Linked DNA regions of Tribolium castaneum. Each later gene encodes a partner of the first gene's protein in a complex. Links are inferred from orthologs where the notes say so. Each region holds a gene or a part of one and is shown on either strand. Other genes may lie near its edges.

Region 1 (4,489 bases):
ATTATTTTGCGATACACTTTATATTTTTGCGAACGCTGCGAATACGGTTGAGGGAATTAAATTTTCTACAAAAAAAGTCCGCGAGACCATACTTCTATCTTCAACGGTTTAGGTATAAATTAATTTAGCAATACTTGACCACCAGCAAAATGAAGCAAATCTGTCACTGAGCGTCTTTGAAGGACTTTGGGGCCTAAATAGTTGAAGATATAACTTTACGTTAGAGTTGTGATAACAAAAAATATTTTTTATTTAATTCCGCATCGAGTGATATAAAAAAATCATAAGATCTTTTTATTTTATTGATATCATAAGATGTCTCCTAATAGCAATATTATGATCTAATAATAGACTACCAGACTGGCTATGGATAAACTTAATTAATAAGTCTGTTAAGTCTTCTTCAAGACCTACATACTAATAATGTCGTCAAGAATGCACCGTTTCTATTTTTTATTGATTTTTAAAAAACATTTTTTTTTGGTTTTTATTTTTTTAACAGTAGTCCCTGAACCGATTAAAAAAATTAGGGACATGTAAGAAGCTAAAAAGGCACTAAAAAATATAGCATGCCATTAAAAAAATAGTATGAAGTCATACTTTTTTGGGACACTTTGTATAATCAAATATATTTTCCTGAAATACGTCCTCCTAGACTCCTAGAGTATAAAAACAACGTGTATAAAATATCAAAATTTCCAACTTTACTAATAACTGAGTTACAGAAAACGGGAGCTGAGCTGGGCAATTCTGTATACAGCCCGTATCAGAACTCGCTCCGCACCGGACAGGTGGGTATAGTTTAGGTAATTCTGAAGCAAAAGTTCTTTTATAAAAAGTTATCTTACAAACAAAGAATAAAAGACCTACTTTTTTGCATTTTTGCCATCTCCATCTCTATTGCTCTTACCATTAGCACCTTTCCGGTGGGTACATCCTGTGTTTTAGTGTAGGAGGATCCTGTTATTTTTATAAAAACTGAGGGATTAAAGCCTATATAAGTTTTTTTATTGGTAATTTATTTTGCTTATTTGAAAATCGCTGCTGTGTGTATAAATCCAACTTTGAAAAACGCGCATTAATAACCCAAGAAACGTGAAGAATAAATGTCACCTTTTTAATGATTTTTTTATTACAATGACCATCAATTCCATGACAACGAAAGGTATACTTATCTCACATTACATAATTTTTTTTAATATTAATACCAGTATTTATGATTTCAAAGTGAATAACTAGTCTTTAAAACACTTGCTTTATTTTGAGCACTTCGGCTACGCCGTCGCGTCGTGCTCGAAAAATCGCGCGTTTTAAAAACCCCAATATCCACTTATACTTTAATATGCTATATTACAATTTATAAAAAAAATCCACATAGTTTGGCGGAATCTTACGAAAGAATTCTAAGATAAATTATTGTGAGAACAGATATTTTTTTAAGCTTTCACCAAATACCAACAAAATCACATTTATGTCATCTCCGGCCAGTATTTTGAAAAATTTTTTTATGTTTAGGGGTTACAATTACTCATAGTACTCATAGGACACTCTCTAATCTGTGGTAATGGATTATAAGCAGAATACAAGTTTTTTGAATAATCTGGTGATATTTCGTTTAGACGATTGGTGACACTGTTCCATGACTTTCTCCCTCCACTTTAACAAGAGATAAACACATGAAGCACCGACCAATCACGAGTAGTTGTTCTTAGAAGGACCAAGTCACGAGACGATTCGGGTTTGCAGTGAGCCCCGCGTTGTAAACAATGTCGGAATAAATAATTAGAGTTTTATTATCTTATCTTAATGATAGTGAAGTGACAAGTAATTGATAATAATGATAGCGAACGGACAGATAGTGGGTGACGGCTCCTGGAACCTGCGGGTGCTAGTTACCGATTTGCAAGCGGAGCGCCAACTCCGAGTGAAGAGCGACTTGCACATCGGAGGAGTTATGCTGAGACTCGTCGAGGACTTGGGTCAGTATGTGAAGAATTCGATTCTTTTACAGTTAGTGCACCTGTTGCAAATAGTCGCTGGAATGCGGTTTTGTGGATTGCGCTGATGGTTTATTAATAAATACCCCACGTCTGTGCACTCGACGGCGCCTGAAAAAATCATCGGCCTTGGCCAATTTATTCAAATGTGCAAAATACGACGAATTTTTTCGGTCACTTATTGGGGAAATAACTTATAACCTCTAAAGGAAATGTAAAACGATCCAGTAGGCTGCTTGTTTAGGCGATCTGATTGGCGGACGCTCTGTGACGTATGAATTATTGTTTGGAGCCAGATGGTTGTTTCCATAAATGACACCAGTTTACATAATTATTTTATGGATTTTGGGCTTTCTTCACAATTTTGGACAAGTGAAATATCTCACAGTGATGCTTTTAGTTCTTTCTTGAAAAATTATTGTTAACCTTTTATGAAATCATTTTTACTGCTTATAATTTATGCCACATTGTTTTTCATGAAAATATCATAATTACGTCTGATCTTTATACTCTATTTATTTAACATTCTTCAAATTTGTAATTTTTTATTGTTTGCTTCCTACAATTAAAATTCTAAATTCTGTATTTTGTTTTTCAAACTTAGTGAGAAATTCAAGAAATATTCTCGAGATTCGTATACAGACTTTACAACATTCTACCTGAGACAAGGGATTTTGAAAATTTGCATGACAATAGGTGGGATTTCCGTCTTCAGGTGTATTATCTGTCATATTTGACACTTGTCACGTCATTAATAAAAATGTGTCTTTAATGTTTATTTTCTCATTATGCACCTTTAAGCTTAAGGAATAAATTACAAAGTTGTAATTTGCTAAGAACACAACAAATTGTCAATTTTTAAAGGTGAAAACTTATTTTTTTATTTTTATTTAGTCACGACCTCAAACCGCCGAAAAAATTCGAAGTTGTCGCAGGCTAAGTAATTTATCGATATGTAGTTTTTACATTTCTGGTGCCTTTTTTCCTTGTTATGAAATAAAGAATATAAAGAATCATAAAACATGTATACGAGGTTCACTTTTATAAAACCATTGTGGTACAAATAGCGTACGTTTGACATTAATTTTTATGAGTTGTCATGGTAACCGGCTAGTCATTTGCACCACAATGGTTTCATGAAAGTGATCTGAAAGTAGTATAGTATAAAATATTTAAAAAAAAATTCCCAAAAAAATTCACAGTTTATTCTGAAAATTAAAAAAATTAAATACTAATAAAAATGTAGAGAAAAATTCTTTCGCTTGTGTAACAGTACATAAAATAAAATTTCGAAGTTGGGAACTATTTAGTTAAAAGCTAGTAATTAGAAATCAGGTTTTTTGGTAGAAATAAAATTAAAAATGCTCCCTATTATTTTACCTTATAGTTTCTTATTCTTTGAATTGAGCAGTTACAAATACAGTTACAATTTAGACAAAAAAGTGGTTTACAACTCGATTATAACTTATAACGAATTGTTACGTTCAAGGAAACAATAAATATTTCTGATATTGCATGAAAATTCCAACAGACACAGGAACACACAAAGTAATCAGAAATTTTAAATGTTGCCACAAATTTGAAAATTATTGAATTGTTGGAAAACTTGTTAACATTAGGTATTATGTAAATGTATCTTTCTTAATAAATTAGATTAATACTTCTTTTGTGTATCTATTCCAAGCTTTAGAATTCACTTAACTTCAAAATTACTTTCGTTTAGAATGAACGATGTGTTGTAACGAACAAATTGTGAAGTTCCTTAAGCGTTTGTTATAACCGAGTTCTCCTGTATGTTATACCTAGTTTTTTATCAGGTCTTTGAATTAAATTTTTGAGAAATTTATTGGGCACCAATTCGCCACAAATTTTATCTGTTTCTTGCCCTCGTTTTGTTAGTTACGTTCTCCTGTTGAATTTTGGATCCACTTTTGTAATTTAAAAGAGTGATTATCGAATACTTGTGAACAGATATCATCATTTAAAGATAAAATCTCATGATATTGATAAAAACAGTCTACACTTAAGCAATATAACTGGTAAAAATCGGCTTCACGCTATAAAATTTATATGAGAAAGAACGGTTTTGGAGTTATATCCCAATTCAGTTCCAATGTAGAATTGCAACATCGCATTTGAATTTTTTTTTGAAAAATAAAGCACAAATTGAGAGTTTTAGTATTACAAAATAATTCTGTGTTAAACTAAATCCCAGCGACAAACTTTGAGTTAAGAAAATTCACCATAAACTCTCAATTTGTGCTCCATTTCATTTAAAAAAATGCAAAAACGCTGTTGCAAAATTCTACTATGAACTGAAATGGGATATAAAAGTTATTTTACGGAGACGTACAGATTGATTGGCAATAAATTTTGTATAATTTATTTGAAAATGAAGTCGAAGTTGAAAGAGGTTTTTCTTCAGTTTTAGTTTCAAAATTAAGGGGTCTAGTTCTGAATAAAGATCTTTCACCTTTTAGAAAACTTTTTTT
Region 2 (4,287 bases), on another chromosome or scaffold:
CACGTTCAAGCGGTTCGAAGGTCTGACGCAAAGAGGGACCCCAACAAAAAAATAAACCGCACTTTTATGTGCGCCAACAAATCGGCAGTTAATCGCGCTATAACGAGCACTTATTTTTAGGAAATATCGTGAAAAATCACACCAGAGTGCTTCGATTATGATTTTCTCGTCTTTTCAATAACTGTACCTATCCCGTAGTTATTTTCTAAAAATAAGTAACTTTGTGTATTATAGGTCTGAAGCAGTTTTCACACTGTTTGCTTTGAGCTGTGAGAAGCTACGTATCTTTTGTTGTATTTACACTGATATCTCGTTAACTTGTGTTATTGTAAATATTACGAAAATGACGAATTGTTAGTACAAAATTGTTGCGAAACTACTGCCAATTATTTATGTGATGATGTGTTGCTTCGAGGGCGGGCGGTCCGAGGGATATTTTTGTACCTAATGATTTTTTCCCTATCATTTTAAATACAACAGAAGATTTTTGTGTATATGTTATTTTTTGTTTATTGTTACAAAGTGATACGTTTATTATTTACTTGTTTTTTTATTTATAGACAATGTATTTCTTGATCGCGCGTCAAGAACTATTTTGTATAACTCGTGAAGGACATGAACTAATTACACTTTTTACACCTTCATGATTCTGTCAGTGAGATCATATTTTTGCAATTTTTTATTTCAAGACGAACGAGCGTAGTCTAGTAGGCGGGTTTAGTAATTTTCGTTTAGAGTGACCTGCGACGTTTGACAGGCAGTACCGCCAACTGTGTTTCAAGGTTCATGGCCACTCTGATCATTTTATTAGTTGTTTTGTTCCAAAGAAGCACATATGAACAATTGTTTTTCACTAACCAATTAGATTTTGTGGAAGTGTATGTGTAGTTTTGCAAACATATCGAGCAGTTTTTTGGCTGTTAAACAGTCTGGTGTGTATGTGAGGCAGTTGGTAGACTTGGAAATTTTATAGAAAGTATTAATGTTAAGCTTGTAGCTCTCTATGCACCTTTTTTTTCAAATTCGTTTAACTGGTGCAAATTAGCTAGATTATTTGTCTGATTTGTTATTTATTACATTGGTCTCGCTAACAGGACTTGTACATAATATATTTACTTCCAAAAATGTGTATAACAAAGTTTATTAAACTATGTGCTTTAACCCGTGTTTGGAACTCCCGCCGGCGTGTTGCCAACCTTTGGTAACTTCCCATTCCTTTTATGGTAAATTTTTAATTAATTTGGGGGCCCAATCTAACTAATTGTTACCTAACGGAGCGGGGGACAGTTTTTAGGACGTTACGTTTGATTTAAAATCCTTTAAAACAATTAAAAAATCAACTTTTTTATCCGTTTGGGGAATTTCAAGCGGCACGGTTGGCAACACGTCCAAATATGGCCGTCTGTTGTGTAAAAAAGTGTTTAGTTTTCCTCACCTAATTACCAAAAAAATCCTTATCTTATCAAAGTAATGCGGTAAATAGCTTCCGGATAAGCGACTGAACGCACTCATTATAAATAAAAACCAATTCTCGCGTTTTAAACACCACCCAAGTGAACGCCCATTTGCTGGTACAAGTGCCCCACTTTTGGGCAAATTGCCGAAATGGAGGATATTTTCCAGTGGTGCAGGGACGGGAATGCCCTCCAGGTGCGGGTTTGGCTCGATGACACCGAGCACGACATGAACCAGGGGTGAGTTGTGTCTTTGAGGTTAGTTTAATGGCATTGCCTAATTTGGTCAGTGGTGTGGCCGTGTTGTGTAATAATTGGGTGTGTGTGGGTTTGTTTGGTTTTTACTGATTGGTGATTGTCTTAGGGATGACCATGGGTTCAGTCCGCTGCACTGGGCGGCGAAAAGGGGGCACACGAAGATTGTGGAGATGCTCTTGCTCAGGGGGGCGAGGGTCAATGCCACCAATCGGGGGGACGATACGCCCTTGCATCTGGCGGCTGCACATGGGCACAGGGAGATTGTGCTTATGGTTGGTATTTTATTAATTTATTAATATAAGAGTAATAATAAGTCTGAAGACTTACAAGGTTGTCACTTTATCGTTTGACTTTTTACTAAAAAGAGTTGGAAAAAATTATCATCGTCACGGTTAGGAAAATTAAAAATTATTCCTCAACCATTTTTAGGAATTTTTTTTTATGTGCTTTTATAGAATGTGGGTTTTAACCTACTTTTTTTCAAGCGAATACACTATAAAAGTACAACAAATTGAGACGTAATCCGAGTACACGTTTCTCATTAGAAAGCAGTATTTTTTTATGTATCTAACAACTCAGAATGAGAAGGAAACCAAGGAAAAAGTGAAAAAATTATTGGCAAAAAATAAGAACAATCATTTGCTGAAGTTGAGCTTGCAAAAAATAAACAAAATACTTTAATTTTTTTGTTGTTTCTTCTAAATTAAACTATTATTAGCTCGCAATTTATTTAATAGTTATCTTATGTTAACAATAAACTGGTTAAAAAAATTTGTATTTTTTTTACTGAAAGTACTTAAACCTTCAAATAACATGCAAAATAAAATAACAGAAACCTTCTATTCCTATTAAATAAACAAGTCATCAATTTTTTGATTTATGTGTGATTATTTTTTAATCAATTGTACCTACCAAAAAAATAAAGAAATAAAAAGATAAATTAGTAAGTTGTGTAAAGTTATTTTGCAATTACTGATTTTTAGTTTTAAGTAGCGTTGTTTGTTTTATAGTAATGTTTAATGTGTTATTGAAGGTCCTAATAATTTTTCTCAATGATACTAAATTAGAATTTACAGTTGTCGCTCAATAAAAAATGCCTTTTACTACCTCTCCATATAAATACAATCTTTGATACTGAATTCATAAAACAATAATAAAAATAATAAATAAATTAAAATATGTAATTACTGATAAGTACATCGTTTTACAACTCATTAATTATTTAATAATAATAATAATAATATTATTATTTAATAATAAATGGTATCGATTTTATAGATGTTAACTTGTTTTCTTGAAAAACTTGTAGCAGAAAAATCATTTAAATTCGGATTGTAGAAATTTTGGGATTTTTAGAAAATTATAAAAAACAAAAACACTACGTGGAAGTGACAATAAATGTTTTTTACGAAAGTGTTTTTGGCTCTAAAATAAATCATTTTATTATTATCCGAAAACTTTTGATTAAAAATTATGAAGCTTCGTCTCTCTTAATTTTAAATGAGTTATTCTAGATATGTACTTACTTATGATCATAATCAACAAAAGTGATGAAAAAATTTTTCGATTATAATAAATTAAATGTTGAAATCAGCTGTTCCAGTTCTATTTTTTTATTTTTAATAAAATAATTTAATTACATTTTTCTGAACTTCTCATAATTCGTCATTTTAAAAATGTTTATTATGTTGATCGATTTTGTCAACTTTTTGAATAAAACGCCAATTGTCCATTTAATAAATCTAGTCTGATAATGGACAAATGTTGGGAGCTATTTATTTTTATTTGTTTTTTTTTATTTTAATTTTAATTATCTGAAAATTCTCGTGTAGATTGAAATACTCAGCACTTTTCCTAAAATACTGTTAACAAGATATAAACAAGGTCGGAAAAAATAGTCGACTACCGACTCAGGCACAATAATATCTTAAAAAAAAATTGGAAAATTAATTTTATGTAATACTTGAAACCTAGCATTTTTTGTTTAAAAGCCAATGTGTAGTGGTAATCCTCTTAAAAAAACAGCAATTTACGATGAAATCAACATTAGTTTTTTTACAAAGAATGTTTTAAAGAAACAATTTGCATCTATTGTTTAAATTGTTTATTTCATTCTATGCACCATAATATACAGAAAATAGTGTACTTTAATCAGGAATTCCACTCCAAATCATAAACATTTAGCTATTTGTATATCTATTACTAGTCAAGTCAAGCTATATTTCAAAACTACTATTTTTTTTGTTTTCCCATGACTTTGTTTAACTTGGAATCAAATTTATTTTCGTCATGGACATACTTTAAAAAAAATATGTTTATAAACATACTTGAAATTTTCTTAAATTGTATTTGACAATTTTTTTTACTAGTTCGGTCTATTTCTTTCGTACTGCGAGTGACGTTTTTTGTTTTTATCTTTTGGAGCGCATTTTTTTCACTAAACAATGAACAAATTTTTTTACATTAGGAGTGAAATAAATGGTAATTTAAAGGATTTTAAAAGAAAAAAAAATGAATATAAATATTTTCATTGTTATTTTTTTATTATTAAATAATAAATAAATAAAAAAAATTA

What was found.
Region 2: unc-112-related protein (region 1) and Ilk share a complex: the UniProt entries of both Caenorhabditis elegans proteins name them as parts of the integrin containing attachment complex. The link is inferred for Tribolium castaneum from reciprocal best matches to the Caenorhabditis elegans genes unc-112 and pat-4.

What each region holds. Positions count from the first base shown.
Region 1 is NC_087396.1:10,375,116-10,379,604, forward strand, and holds the start of unc-112-related protein, read left to right. Parts: upstream 1-1,681; 5' UTR 1,682-1,837; coding exon 1,838-1,979; exon of another isoform or gene 1,980-2,036; intron 2,037-2,083; exon of another isoform or gene 2,084-2,412; intron 2,413-4,489. UniProt on the Caenorhabditis elegans protein: Component of an integrin containing attachment complex, which is required for muscle development and maintenance. Probable regulator of cell-extracellular matrix adhesion. Required during initial muscle assembly to form dense bodies and M-lines.
Region 2 is NC_087394.1:5,466,081-5,470,367, forward strand, and holds the start of Ilk (integrin-linked protein kinase), read left to right. Parts: upstream 1-1,352; 5' UTR 1,353-1,605; coding exon 1,606-1,694; coding exon of another isoform or gene 1,695-1,698; exon of another isoform or gene 1,699-1,712; intron 1,713-1,818; coding exon 1,819-1,984; intron 1,985-4,287. Other genes in the region: trc (serine/threonine-protein kinase tricornered), read left to right, coding at 1-55. UniProt on the Caenorhabditis elegans protein: Probable pseudokinase that acts as an adapter protein. Component of an integrin containing attachment complex, which is required for muscle development and maintenance.